Neodiprion lecontei: one gene and its partner. The protein of the gene in region 2 purifies or fractionates together with the protein of the main gene of each other region. This does not show direct contact. Links are inferred from orthologs where the notes say so. Each region holds a gene or a part of one and is shown on either strand. Other genes may lie near its edges.

The links. The genes of interacting proteins can lie anywhere in the genome.
Region 1: the proteins of rac GTPase-activating protein 1 (region 2) and protein FAM98A purify together in Homo sapiens (co-immunoprecipitation; 3 studies listed by BioGRID and IntAct, with this or other methods). This does not show direct contact. The link is inferred for Neodiprion lecontei from reciprocal best matches to the Homo sapiens genes RACGAP1 and FAM98A.

Annotation. Positions count from the first base shown.
Region 1 is NC_060266.1:24,792,192-24,798,701, reverse strand, and holds protein FAM98A, read right to left. Parts: upstream 3,660-6,510; 5' UTR 3,422-3,659; coding exon 3,384-3,421; intron 3,043-3,383; coding exon 2,676-3,042; intron 2,568-2,675; coding exon 2,277-2,567; intron 2,185-2,276; coding exon 1,886-2,184; intron 1,781-1,885; coding exon 1,483-1,780; 3' UTR 1,432-1,482; downstream 1-1,431. Other genes in the region: DNApol-eta, read left to right, coding at 1-425; protein MIS12 homolog, read right to left, coding at 4,471-4,758, 4,875-5,012, 5,161-5,330, 5,832-5,919. UniProt on the Homo sapiens protein: Positively stimulates PRMT1-induced protein arginine methylation. Involved in skeletal homeostasis. Positively regulates lysosome peripheral distribution and ruffled border formation in osteoclasts.
Region 2 is NC_060263.1:5,501,025-5,509,335, reverse strand, and holds rac GTPase-activating protein 1, read right to left. Parts: upstream 5,534-8,311; 5' UTR 5,353-5,533; intron 5,227-5,352; 5' UTR 5,178-5,226; coding exon 5,093-5,177; intron 4,758-5,092; coding exon 4,555-4,757; intron 4,448-4,554; coding exon 4,293-4,447; intron 4,204-4,292; coding exon 3,789-4,203; intron 3,670-3,788; coding exon 3,500-3,669; intron 3,409-3,499; coding exon 3,282-3,408; intron 3,201-3,281; coding exon 2,968-3,200; intron 2,860-2,967; coding exon 2,562-2,859; intron 2,490-2,561; coding exon 2,314-2,489; intron 2,226-2,313; coding exon 2,162-2,225; 3' UTR 2,158-2,161; exon of another isoform or gene 2,059-2,157; 3' UTR 1,222-2,058; downstream 1-1,221. Other genes in the region: GATOR complex protein Iml1, read left to right, coding at 91-257, 344-512, 599-915, 987-1,187.

The DNA of each region.
Region 1 (6,510 bases), on a different chromosome or scaffold from region 2:
TATTACAAAGTCGAAAGAAAAAGGACTCTGAAAGTAAAGTAAATACAGTGAAATCTGTACAGCAGAAAGTTAATGATCACAAGCGCTCTCGTGCAAAATCTGCTGTCCAACCGAAGATCAACAAAATAGACACCTTTTTCAACAATGAAACGAAATTGGCTGATAGTTCTGGCGGTGAGGAATTGGTGGAAAAATGTCCAGAATGCGATAAATTAATTCCACTGCGCGAGTACTTGGAGCACTCCGATTTTCACGTTGCGCGAAACTTGTCCAAAGAATTAAATAAGTCTGTTGCTCGGCCCACGGTAGCTACTCCAGAAAATGATAAGTTGAATGGCAAACCATCTGTGAAGAGAAAACGTAACAAACCCGAAACGCGAGAGTCAGAAAAGCGGTCTAAAAGTATAGCCGCGTTTTTTACGTGAGAAAGACTCGCCAGAATTGGATGTAAATATGTGTAGTTTTAAAATATTTTTAATACCAAATGAATAATTTGTATGGTGCCATGTAGCGGGAGAAAAGAATCTGAAACCTCTTTTAGGAATGCACAGTTATACATATATTACGTTAATCGCGATATACATTACAGAGCTGCTTTATAAGGTAATTGAAATAAATAACAATTATGTTAATAAATACATTCTTATCCTAAATGATCTTGGATCAGATCTTTACTGCAAACAGAGGTTCAATCCACTTTTACTTAGAGTCAAACTCTGGCGTCCAAATATGCCTCAAAATAAGTGCAGAGTGGACCTCAAATTTCAGAGCAAAGTACCGATTAACTGATATTTCTTAACTTGGGTTGACCACAAAATACTTTTTAACACAGCTGCCGAAGGAATGATCAACGATATTTTTTAATGATTCCATGTGAATATTTTGGTTCAGGTTAAATGGGAAATAAAATATTGTGTGATGAAATACAGAGATGAAGGTAATGCATTAACAATCTCACGAAGTCTTACTTTGCGGGGTTTACAGGATTCATGAGACAGCGATTCTGTACCATTTACTCTCTCTGAAGCTGCGCGGGAACTGTGCTGTCTCTATTTATAAAGATTCTAAATGCTTGAAAACACCATTCCCATTTCCAAAACCAAATCTCATTCGATGCCTCAAAACCAACATAGGATTCACTCAGTGGTAATTCCAAAACGCTATGTGCCGTATGTTGTTGAAACCGTAAGCATATTACAAAACGCGATTTCGAGCAAACGTGATGAACAAATTCACTATGAATCAGGATGAAATGCAGCACAAAAAAATTGATACAAGCTTTGCACCTGTAAAGAACCAACCTTAACAACCATGAGGCGTCTGATCAAACATAAAGAACCGCAAACTAAATAAAATTAACAAAAGAGATCTCACGAAATAGCAAAATATAAATTTAACGATTTAAGTTTAACTCGAATTTTAATCTGGCACGTTATAACATCTATTTTAGACGTTGCCGTTTTTTTTTTTCTCGCAACTGTCTTAATAGTGCTGTCCACCTCGACCTCTTCCGCGATTAGAATTCCCTCGTTGATAGCCACTTGTACCTCGGTCTCCGCCCCATCCTCCTTGCACTCTACCTCTTCCACCGCCTCTGTGATACTCTCCACCTCCTTGATTATGACCACGGTAATCACCACGACTTTCATACTGTGGTTGCTGTTGCTGATATTGCTGCTGCGATTGAAACCTGTCTTGGTTTTGGCCAAAATTTTTCGAAGCATCTTTGTGGTCCCGATATCCACCGCCACCGCCACCGCCACCTCCGCCTCTGCCTCCTCTGAAAAATATTTTGAAACGATATTCAATTGATGTGCTTAAACAAGTATCACGAAGTCACAGAACCCCAATCCATGAACAAAAATACTGTGAGATCGCGTTTTACCTGGACGAATTCGGCCCAGCAACGCGGTCTTTTTGCCAAGATGGCATTTCGGGTGGAGGTGGTTGCTGGTCGCAAGGTCTTCCTCCACGATCTGGCACTGCCCCAATAATGACTTGGTTGACTTGGCTCCTGGTATTTTTTCGTACAGTAGCATTGCTGGTCTTTTCAACTATGGCTAAATCTCGTCTTGCGGCAAGTAAATCAGCAATACAAACACTTGGCTCGGGAGACATGATATTCCGTTTTTGTTGGTAGGATGCGTTGACCTGATCTTCCTTTGACCTTATATTCTCTGACCACTGTAAAATTAAGATTGTTATTAGTTTATTCCAAAATAAGATAATTTCATCAAATTTACTAGAATTTTGTGAGACGTTATTTAATGCTTTACCAAAAAAGATTGCACCGTGACATCCAATCTTTTGAGTAACATTTCCCTTCTGGTTTTATACTCGTTCTTGAATTCTTCTTGGAGTTCATTCAGCCGTTCCCATTGGTCGTTCGATAGCTCGCCCACAAATAAAGGCGTATCGAGTAGATCAGGGGGAGCCTGAGCCACAACTTCCTTCAACTTAGTAGTTAGTTTTGTGAACAGCATTTGTGCGCTTATGTTATCTGGAGGTTTTTGAAACTTCAATGCCAACAACATGTTTTTGAGATGTCTGGCTGTGTCGCTTTCGTTCTGAAAGTAAAAATAAAGAATGGCAACATGACAGTTATCCAATTAAGACGGAGCAGAATTCACTATCGATAGATTCAACTAGACATTGATAACAATTACAACACTTACAATTGTTACTTCCATCTGTTGATCCGCGTCAGATTTAAATGATCCTAATATCTTGCTGGTCATCAGCTCGGTTACCAGATAATCTAGTAAAACGAGTCTGTCGTACTTTGTACTCAGTCTCTGATTCACAGTACCGCCAATGAGGTTTTGATTCGCGCATCCTAATTCCTTGAGAAATGAACTTAATTCGAGCAGAAAATGGCTCGAATCTTCTGGCGTGGTTATAGCGTTTACGGAGTCATCCACCTCTCCAAATGCAGACAATTCTTCTGCCAGCCACGCCACCAGCTTAGTGAACTCCACTGACTTTGGGCCGTCTTTCAAAGCTTTGGACAACTCATTCGCGTCAGATAGAGCCCCGCTATACCTGCGGAATCAAGCACAAAATTTAAGTAGATCTTTTACGCGAGTTCAAAATCCTCTTTACAAACTTGCTGATTATCTTACAAATAACATTGTGAACGTTACTTTAATTCGGAGCTTCAAGTTTGGGTATCTTTTTCGGCTATATGATTATCCAATAATTTTTTTATAATATTGAACATCCTCATAACTTCGAACATATTAGGCTGATTTTCTGAGGAAACTCAGTAGCTTTGTTTCCTTACTCAAAAAAGTAGCCTAAAATATTGCACATGTGAAGTTAGTAATCGGCAATGCTTTGCATCAGCCGGTAACTGGTGTAACCTATAAAACTTGCCCACATACCCAACGTCTTGCAGATTCTGTAACAAATCGGTTTCCATTGGCACTGGCCGTTTGATTTAAACGGAACTTTTAGGAGAAATGTTAATAAATCAATCGGTTTAAGTTCATGCGAGGAAAGTACAAAATTCCGTGTCCGCTGTCGGAACTGACGACTGTCGAATAAGCACACTGTGCAAAGCTGCTGTCGAGCTTTTCTAATCTCCAATGGACCCCGTTTTATGTTACATGCCATCCCCACCATTGAACAAATTCACGACATCGGAAATCCCTCGATTCGGTGAAATTAGAAATAGACTGAACTCGACGACTCGATAATACATGATTTTCAAATGGTATTATCTGCTAATCCAATCGAACGTTCTAGAAACAATCGAGCATCAACATGTGTATTTAATCATTTAATATTTAACGTTGGTAAACAGACATGTTGATGATGAGTTGTGAACAATATGGCATGGCTAAAAGATGTGACTTTATACATTAGTTTGTACTGAATACGTAGAAATAAAATTATTTCGTGTATCTTATAATAGCTCAAAGGAAAACAACGAAGAGAACAAAAATTCGGGGAAGTCTCAAATGGATAGTAGATGGATCAACTCGATAACGTTAAGACTTGAATTAAATATGGGTAACTATTCTGACAAAAGCAATAATAATTGGAAACAAATCGTAGAGTATTAATACAATCGATAATTCTGACGATCGAGAATCAGAATAATGCAAGCAAGTTTAGATCTCAATAAATGATTCCAATGTAACACAGAAATTCAAATGAAACTGTTTCTTTGAAGGACTACGATTATTTTTTAACTTGAAACTGCAAGAGGTTCGAACTCAGCTGATAGATTATCTGTTGCAACAACCTTTGCGTAGCATAATCAAGATAGCGCAAAGTTTAAGTTTATGTTTTTCATGCGACAACTCGCTAACTCGGAAATGAAATTAACCAGGATTTAACAGATAGTTTTATTGAAAAAAATCTAATGACCTAATTGTGTATAAAAAAATATAACTAGACATACATATATGCTCAAGATTCTTCTAGACTTTGATAGGCCACAAATAACATCTTAGTAAGATTGCTCTATTCATTGGCAGTATTAATTAAAGTTTCACGGTATACGAGATCAAAATCTTTAAGATTTTCCAAGGGTGGATTGTATTTGTGCCTTTCGCATTGAGATTCAGGAATTGGTAGCTGCATTCTAAGTTTTTCCGATTGCTGGATGAATTCTGTTATTTGGTCATCCAAATTTGGTACAACGGTGTTATCTTTAATCTCCCTGCTCGCATTGTTTATCGCGTCCTCGCAGGCCTTGAATCTTTTTTGAAGTTCGAGTTCTTGGCGTAAAGCGGCGTTGAACATTGTGACCTATCAAAAATCACCCTCGATTAAATGAAACAAAGGGTACAATTTAAATTTATAACGAGTATAGGTTTTCCAAGTGGTATTTTACATGGAAACATTTTCATGAAATTTATTCTGACCCCTTCGGCTCTCTTTTGGAGATTGTCCATCTTGGTCTTCAGTTCTTCGAATTCATCTTCGCTGACCTGAACAGCTTGACCTTTATCCTCGTCTAATAAAACGTTGTCAGGAATTGCAATGAATTGTCGTACAATGTTCTGCAAAACAATGTCAGGTTCACAGTACAATTGTCAACAATCGCGGATGAAGAGGTGGCGATAATCTAAGACCAAGATGACCTGGATTTTTAACGTTTGTTAAATTTCTTAGAAGATGAAACTAAAGACACTGTAGAGGAATAATTACATTCAATGATTCCATGTGAGATTCAGCTCTGTTTTCATAAGTCTGAACCAAATCCTTAGCCTCTGTTCTGAGAACAGAAAGCTCCTCACTGCCCAGTTTATATTTACTTTCAATGGATTTGCTCAGATTCTGACAGACCGACCGTACCTCTTCCTTTATTATATTCTTTACTGAAACGATTACAATGCCAATGTTTCAACACGTAGAAGCGAGCCTGACAAGCATAGGAATGTGAAAGATTTAGATCGCGCTGATAATAACAGTAAAAACAGACTTGAAAGGTCGCATAAGAGCCTGACGTTATCTGCCGTACGTGAAACGGAACATGAGTAGAAACAAGTTGTCGAAAAAGTATAACAGATTAGAAAAAGAAACTGGCGAGGAGACTGAACGGATCGCAATCAGAATGGAAATACAGATGAGAAATAGGGTTTCAGTTGGCGGTTGATACGCGAAACGTGGGAATAAAGGCAGGATTTTCGTTTGGCGTGATGACGCGCGTTGATAGCGTCACAATTGTTGGACGAGTGTGACTCTAGTCATGATTTAAATCCACATGAAACCAGAGCACATTCGCCCGACGACTGCAACATCGATTCGTTCCGGGATAAGGCCGATAAAGCCTGAAAGCATTGACAAAGGAATTGATGGAAGTGACGTTGTCCTCTTACTGCCATCGTACGCAGCCCGGGAGTGAAAGCCAAAGAGCTGCATCTCGTACTCCTCTCGTTTCCGTAGCTTCATCTCCTCCGACGCCATAACTCTCCAGATTTATCTCAAAATTCATGCGCGGCGTGAAACAGCCGTGTTTTAATACGCCCTCGATTACTTCGCAGGATTTTACTTGACCGCGAGACTATTTTATCCCCGAGATTTCCTCCTCCGTTCCTTTTCCTCGATCGCTGATTGACGTCCGTTGACAAGTGAATATGGCGTCTCCGTCCCTGCCTCGGCGTCCCTCGGTCCTCACGAAATTCCACGGCTTGACGTCCGTCCGCGTTCCGAATAAAAAATACCAACCGGAAAACTGGCCCTCGTCGGCGACGTCGACAACTATCCTCTTCGATGATTTGATTCGCTGCTTGGAGCGTCTGAACGCTCTTCAACCAATAGAAATAGCTGATACTCCCTCGAGGGGGTTCCACTGTTGCGAGATTGTTTCAGATTGTTGTTTCGTACAAATCAAAAGAGAGCTGGAGTATCGTAATCACATTGGAAGAAATTCGACGTTGGTCCTAGATTGTAAAGAGACACAATGAAATATTTCCAAGTAGTATATTTAACATTATTACTATTATGTAATAAGAATGCGTACAGTAATGAGGACAGCAATTGGTACTCTAGATCGTA
Region 2 (8,311 bases):
TATGGACGTATCCCTATATATCTTACAGAAAGAATTCGTCAATTTGAAAACTAAATAATTTAGAATTTTTTTCTTTATGTTTTTGCTTAGCGCCAGTTTCTCCTTACAAGCACACTCATCTTGATATAGACATAAACAATAAAAGCGATAGAATAGAATGGGGACACCTCAGATATCAGTCATTATTCAAGACGGACTATTCTTACGAATTGGTTGTCCAGTGGGTCGCATCCTCGGGGAGTATAGTTGCTGACCTTGTAAGTTATCCAATTTAATTATTGAAAGTAAAAGAGACGTCGGTGCGATTAATCAATGGTCATCTTTTCGGTTTTGAATCATTCAGATATTCGGGTGGCAACGAAAGGCGCAATTGTGTGGAATACAAATGGTTCCGATACCCAGTGATTTGCTTGCGCTACCTTTCACTCTGAAAAGTGATCCTCTTCGGGGCCCAATCTTCATACCTCTACACACGGAATGTTTGATGACCAACAAACCGTATCTATTCGATGGTTTGTTGAAATTTGAACACGTGGTATCAAATTTTGTTGTATAACAATAGCTATCTGATGTTTCACTTTCAATGTGTTTGCAACAGAGTTTCGGGAAGACACCTACACTCAACGGTTGTTCCTCTTCCAAGAAGCCATAGTGCAAAGGTTCGGTTTTGTACCGTGTCTGGTGGAGGGCACTGAAAATGATCATCAATACGTCCACGTTACTGGCAATGCATTTATTCTCGTACCGTCGACATCTTGTATTCGAGCCAGACCACGAACGGATACGAATATAATCAGACGGATAACGGGCCAGAAACGATATCCAGTCCATCCTGATCAATCTAGTCCGCACGAAGCATATATTACAAGGCATGTCAGTGGGAAGAATAAAGATGACTACAGTATGGACAGGAGGGTCGGTATATATACTTAATGTAAATATTTTCTATATGAATTGATATCAACTGTTCGTATTTTTTTATTCAGGTTGGCTTTTTGTGGTCATGGAATCATATGGTCAGTCGCAAGTGGAAATCGTTATCAACATCAGCGACCGGGGATGAGTTGTTTCAAAAAAAAATTATTCAAGATTTTAGAAACTTTTGTTCGAATGCGGACAACAGATTAAGACAGTACTGGGAGTCATGCTGGGAACTCAAAGAGAAAACGTGTTCCCGAACCGAGTAATTAAGCACATCCCAGTGTTCTGAAATTCAATGGCCTCGCTATCTGTTTTCGGGAATTTATTGTACATTTCAAAATACTATACGAGTGCTGGTTTGCTCAGTTTAAAATGATTCAATGAGCAACTAAGAAATACATATGAAAAAAAGTTGGATTAATCGTGGTAGTTTTAAGTGGGCCTATACAGCCTGAAATTCCTATTCTTGCCGTTACTGTACAAAAGTGAAATTTACAGAATATTAAGAATAATATTAACAATATAAGAAAGTCAGGTTTAAATCTTTTATTTGTAACGTCTAAAGTAATACATTAATTAATATTAATATTAACTACAAAGTTATCCATTTTATTAGACATTTTGTATTGAAAAATAAATAAGTATTTCTTTCGACAGGTCCAGATAATTTGTATGGAGAAAAAAAATTACATTGTGATTAGTGGATTTTTAATTTACACGCTGTCATCAATAGTGATCTGATCACTTGTGTTATAATACTTATGCGTAAAGTTGAACAGAAAAAAAATAGAGCTAAATTGTACACTGATTAAATTTGTAATTGAAAAATAATTATCATTCCAACACTATGAAACGGATTTTAGTCCTCATGAGAAACTAGCGCCGATATGTAAGCTCATATTATCAAAAGTAATTATCCAATTTTAATTATGCCAAAAACGAGCCGCATGCAGCTCAAAGAAGGCATTTCATTTAGCTTATAGCTTTGACAAAATATGTCATTATTTGATATTTTAATTCTAAGTATTCGTAAGATTTACTAGCTACAAAGCAAAAGATCAAAGAAGCTTCAGATGAATGGATGCAGAATTGAAAAATATTATCAAATTAAAAAGTACCTGTTATGTGAGTAAAATTCTGCTGGAAAAAAATTTAAATATACGGTTATTCTAGGCTAACTATTACACCTGTAATTTATAAAAAGAGGATGAAAAAAAGAATTGTAAAGCCATTCACCGTTTTAGTACCCGCTTTTTGATGGTGGTGTCGCAAAGTATTTTTTGTTTTTTCTCATGAACGTTCGGCTGGAAATAAATTATGGATTTATAGTATTTAATCTGTGAATGTAACGATCAGTAGTTGAATATTTTTTATATATTGATTGTAGAATACCTTGAACTGATAGGAGTATTGAAAAATCCCCTAGATGCTGTTCGTTTTAAAAGTGACTCTGTAGACGGAGTGTGTCTAAGTTCCCCAGTTTTCGGTGTTCCCACTCCGTTTAGACCTTCGGAGTTGACAAAATTTGCCCAATAATCTGACGGAATCTTCAACAGACTTTCCACTATCTGCAAAAGAACGCAAGTATTATTACTCTAAAATATTCTGAGGATATTTTGAATCCAATGAAAGATACTTACTGCAACTTGGCTTTTAGTTTCACTTAGCATTGAGTTTGGAGATGGTTCCTGGCAGCTATAACCGACAAGAGTTGGTCCGAATACTTTGGCAAGATTAGTGATCGGCATTTTGCATTCTGGACTGCTCGACACTCGCTGCAAATGGAGAATCAAGAATGCTAATGTATCGCGATTCGGTTGCGGTAATTCCGATATCGCTTGGTAAAGAGCAGCATCAGCATCCTGTTTATCAGAAATGGCCGTCGCTCTTGCAAAATCTGCCCATAGTCCAACTGTGATCAAAGGTTCGCGAAGAGTTCTGAATTAAGATGAAAGAAAAATTGTGAGTAAAATACCCTGCATTGCTCAAGGAATTGATAAAGTTATTTGTTGTGGTTTAATCTTTTTCATAATCCGACAAATGTACCTCAAGAAATCTTTCAAAGTTGAACAAATAGTCGGTATATCAATGTCGGAAAGGTTGGGTGCACCCTTTCCTTTCAAAAATTTGTCCTTCAAGCATTTAACGTCGCTCGAACCGCCATTCACCCTGTATAAACCTTGTTCGCCCATTCCCCTCAGTTCGACCTCATTTATGCAGTGTACCACCAGCGACGGCACCATGGGTGGTATCATGGGGGTATAATCTGCAATTGTACCCTAGGAAAGCAAAAATTGCTCACCTTGAATGGATTTCATATTTTTTTTGAATTGAAAAACTAAATGTTGTTCACAACTTACAGAAATACCACGCAAAGTCGGAGTATTTCCTGCAGGTACGCACGGTAATGGTACTAGGTCTTTACATTCGGCGTGAGAAGTAGCTCTGCACTCTCTGCATTTCAAAGCTACGCGTCCGAATCGAATACTGCAATGATAAAGTTGTAGTTGAATCAAATTGCCGACCACACTTCGTAATAGATAATCAAAAATTGTACCACAAAACATCGTTCCCTCACCGTTTGCCACAAGGAGTGCATACTTCTGGCTTGATAACAGTCTTTGCCGTGAAAGTGTGACCCCTGGACGATTTAATGTTCAAAGTATATCCACCGATATTAGGGCTGGGCTTAAATACACCTTCGGAATCTGAACCGGAAGTCATGATGTCGGCTTTTGGAGCTGAAGGCTGTATGCAAACATATATACACGGATTTTATTCAATGACTAGAAGTGTTTGCTGAATCCACTTTCTACTTTCACCATCCTATTTCATTCAACTCCTAAAATTAAGAAAAAAGGACCCACCTCCACGTCCATCAATGGATTTTTTGCATCCATGTGTGAACTTTTTTGTCTGGAGCGGTCAGCACTTGTGCGATATTTGTGGGGGCTCTGTTTTATTTGAGTATTTGGATCTTCATTTTCATTCCCAGGCTTTGCTTCAATCACAGAAGACGCCGTGATGGGTCCATCCTTGGGCAGAACAACAGTAGTTGTCGCTACTATCCGATCTGATGTATTCAAGTCTACAGCTTTCTGAATGCTGCTGCGCCTTTTCTTGGTTGAATATTCCCCGCTTGGTCTGTGCTCTTTCCATTCCCGTTTCTTTTGATTTTGCTGGAGCATGACACTCGCGTCCAAGTCGTCCTCCGATTTTGAAAAACAACTCAGATCGCTAAGCAGAGACCCGGTAGAATCCAATTCTGCTATTGTATTAAGCCTAGAAAAAAAAGTAACGATGGGTTAAAATTAAGACAGAGACTTTTGAAAGTCTTCTGACTTTCCTAACGATGCAATTTAGACTCTTACTTATCAGCGTGATGCAAGTCTTTTAGATGAACGTTGCTGCTGCGATTATTTAATGTTGTATTATTGAGAAATTGCAACTTTTCACGTGTTTCATCATTCAGGTTTCTACCTCCATCGTGTAGGAACAAGTCACGAACCATGGATATTTGTCGTTCCTGTGTAAATAGAATATTTGGCAATTATATCGAATTTTCATCATTTAATAGATACTTATACATGTTCAGGTATTTTGTTCACAACTAGTTGTTGAATTTATTATTACCAACGAGTTACGTTGATCTTCAACGATACGTCGTCGTCGTTTTTCCTCGTCAAGAAGTCGACGAGCATGACTTAATTTTCTTTCTAGATCTGCCGACTCTAAATGAGATTTTTCCAAAGCAGAATGAAGTCGCTGGCATTCCTGTACAGATGCCAACCATTTTTGTCGCATCTCTTCCTGGTTGATAGCAAAGCGCAGAAATTCTGAAACATTGAAAGATCGATACCTTTCTCATACAAGCATAGACTTTCTCTTAGATTCTGAGCACAGTTGAAACTTTCTAAACTTCGACTGGGTTAAAAGAATGAAGGGCTGAATGAGAGATAAGGGTATACGGGAAGCAGCTATCTCTGAAGATATCAGATGTTGCTGCAAGAGTAACTAGAGCACAGACTCCGCTGATGAATTATTCGTGGCTCTCTGTTAGTGAGAAAAGAATGTTCGTCTCAGAATAAAGTGACGTAAAAATTTATTCCGAATGTATGATCGTGGGGGGTAATTTCTTTGGGTAAACGAGGCGTCGATCAAGTGAGCTAACCTTCTTCGCACGATCCGTTGACGAGTACATTGGTACAACGTACCAGCTCATCGTGAGAGGCCAATATCGACAGTGAAGTTGTCATTTCGACAGCGTGAGGCTACCAAATTGCAGTGGCCAAGTACCAATTTGATCTAAAAAAGGAGAAAACGAAGGATGTTAAAAACTGACTGAATCGGACTCGCTGCCGGCTGTGAGTCTGTAGTTTTAGGCATCGTTGGTCCGAGACACAAGACGAGAAAATAATGGTAAAAACTCACCCTGCGTCCACCAAATTCACTTAACCGCTGTAAAACGCACCAGTTTTAATATATCGTTGTAAATACCGATTGACATAGCTCGCACGCGTTGTTGACGATCTCCGAACTCTTACACTATACAAGATACAACCGCCTAGTTTTGAGTTTGACCGTTTGAAATTCAACTAATCAGAAACAAGCGTCGTTGGCTCGCTTCACACTCCTTCGTTTAAAAGTTTCGATTTCCGCCGCACGGTAGCGCCACAGTTGAAGCCAACAAACGGTGTCACCTCGAATTATTTACGATTACTCGAACTACATTTGCCGCAAGGAAACGGCGCCGTCGAATATGAATGTATATCTCGTCAGGTCGTGAGATGTTTTTGATTAAATACTACCGTGCACGAGGGTGTTTCTATTCAAGTGTCAATAACAGTCTGGTTTATTCGTCGCGGAAGAAGCTCGTTAATCTCTCGATCAATCGTGGTATAATGATTCCGATGCTCAATTGTTTGATGCTAGAATTTTCGGTCTTTCGGGTATCAGGGATCGTCAGAGAGGCTTTCATCTTTTCAATTCGGCTGCGAAAAAGCAATCCAAGCAACAAAATGACACGGGAGACTCAACGTGCTCGCATAAATGGAATAACTGAGTAAGTGTGTATAAAACTTCTCTAAAAGACATATATATGAGTAGCTGTTTATCTAATTAAGAGGCATATGAGTTTTTGCCAGCCCATAAGAATTGAGCGAAGTGAGCTGAAAACAAAAACAAACATTCGAACGCGCAGTAATAACACTCGACTGAACTGCGTATATTATTATCATCGAACGATGCTGTTCGCGTTTCAGGGAGAAGAATTAAAGCGAATCGTCACGTAATCGAGCATCTTGCAGCATCAATTATTCGAAATAGTTTTACCCGCTGGCTCGAGGATGGTGGATCAAATCTGTGGGAGAATAGGAAGTGCCTGCTTAGTGGGTGGCAGTGCGTTATTCAGGTATGATTGAACTCGAGCTCTATTTGTTATGTTCGCATCAATTTCACATTCTTACCCCGTCGCTTGTTTATACAAAATCACTGCTATATGTACCTGAAATACCCATATATCCGGCGGTTATGCGGTGTATCTATACTAAAATGTAGAAAATCCTTTGTCTATTTATCACTTTGTTACCGATACAGTCAAGAATCAGTGAACCGGTTTACATGGGGCTTGAACCAAATTGTTTCTTAGGTCTGCCCGAGTAATATAGGCTATATATTGAGTTGTAAAACATGGTCCAATTAGTAATATGTAGGGAAGAGGCTCGACAAATAGGCCCCTTAAGAAAGGAATAACGTTAGACCAATTTCGACGACGCAATTTTCTTGTCTTCGGCCTAAAATAATATTTTAAACGTTGTCGATATTTTTGAAATCCCATTTGATTGTACAAGGACCCATTTTTCTCGCTAATACCCATTTTGCCCACATCTCCCCCTAAGTGTATACGTATTTCCAGAAATTTCCATCTTCGTGCTTCCCGGTTGTTTCTGTACGGGAAAATCTGGAGCCTGGAGGCTGAGGTTGAATCTACCTTGAGCCGTTCCACTTTGCTGCATGTACGTTTTACCGTATCCAAGGATCCAGCTTCGGTGAGTTTGGCTTTTCACGTATTTACCAGAATATCTTATACCTATGCAGTGGCATCTCTTTTTTTACATCCTGCCTCTGGACGCATTAAATCTTTGACACACGGATCAATGTATCTGCATAATTAACGGGTATATATTGAGGAAATTCTGGATAAAACTTTGACTTAAATAATAGTAGCGACGGTTGCCTGTGTACAGGCGAAATTGATTTCCAAACATCTTGATTGGAATTTGCTAGTAGATTAAGTCCTGTTACCGTGCGTAAAAATTTGTCTGAAAATTCAAAAATTTCATTCACTCTTGATTCGCAAATTTATGAACAATTCCCTATAAAGAGTTGTAAGTATTGCTACTGCCAAAAGCGATTAAGGCTACAATCATCAATTATACCAGATTTGAATGAAAAAAAAATTCGATACGTTCTCATTTTTTAGACTCACTTTACCATTCCTGCAGAGTAATTGTGTCAGAAATAAATTTTAATTTCGCGTGAAAAAATCCCTCACCTTTGTTGAAATGTTGGTGCAGTGTTTTGTGATTCTCGCTTGATTTCTCATGAATAACTTTACAGAGGAGCGTATTTTTTAAGAAATTTTTTGAAATTTTAACTGATAAGTGGAAAGTTACAATCTTAATTAAGGTTAAAATGAATTTAACTGCTTGAAGCGAATCAAGCGATAAATATGGTAAAGGGCATTTTGACGAGCGATAATACAAATACCTAAACCTGTTTGCTTTTCAATCGAAATTTCTATACGACGCCAGCAGAATTTTAGAGATTATCTACATCACGAAAAAGCTTGCGGAATTTACGTATAATGAAAAATAACTTAATAGTTGAAAAATTTGTCCCCTTTTGGGTGAGCCAGCTTTTGACGGCTAAAAGTCAAAATCCGGACTAAGAATTATCAAATAATCGAAGGAACAAAATTCGGGACGATTCAACGCCGCGGTCACTGAAAATTCGCTGTAAAGCAGATTACGTCAGTTGAGTCCAGAAACATCCGGGGTTCCGACCATTCGCTACTATAAATGCAGTGTTAAATGTAACACCGAAGATATTCTATAGAAGTCCACACCATTTTAAGAGCACTTTGTGTAAAGAATCGAACGATTCACACCGATGATATTTAATTTCGCACTAATCGGCGTGTACCTTTATCAACACAGTGAATTTTCTGACAGTGTTCAGAGCGTTGGCCGGCGTCCAGCTCGAAATGCATAATGGAAAATGAAATTACAATCCGGATTTCTATTAGCAGAATGAGGCCCAACACTGGCATCGAGATACAATTATACGAGGAAGGGTATTCCGCTGCAGCACGTTGGTACCAGGGTGTAGA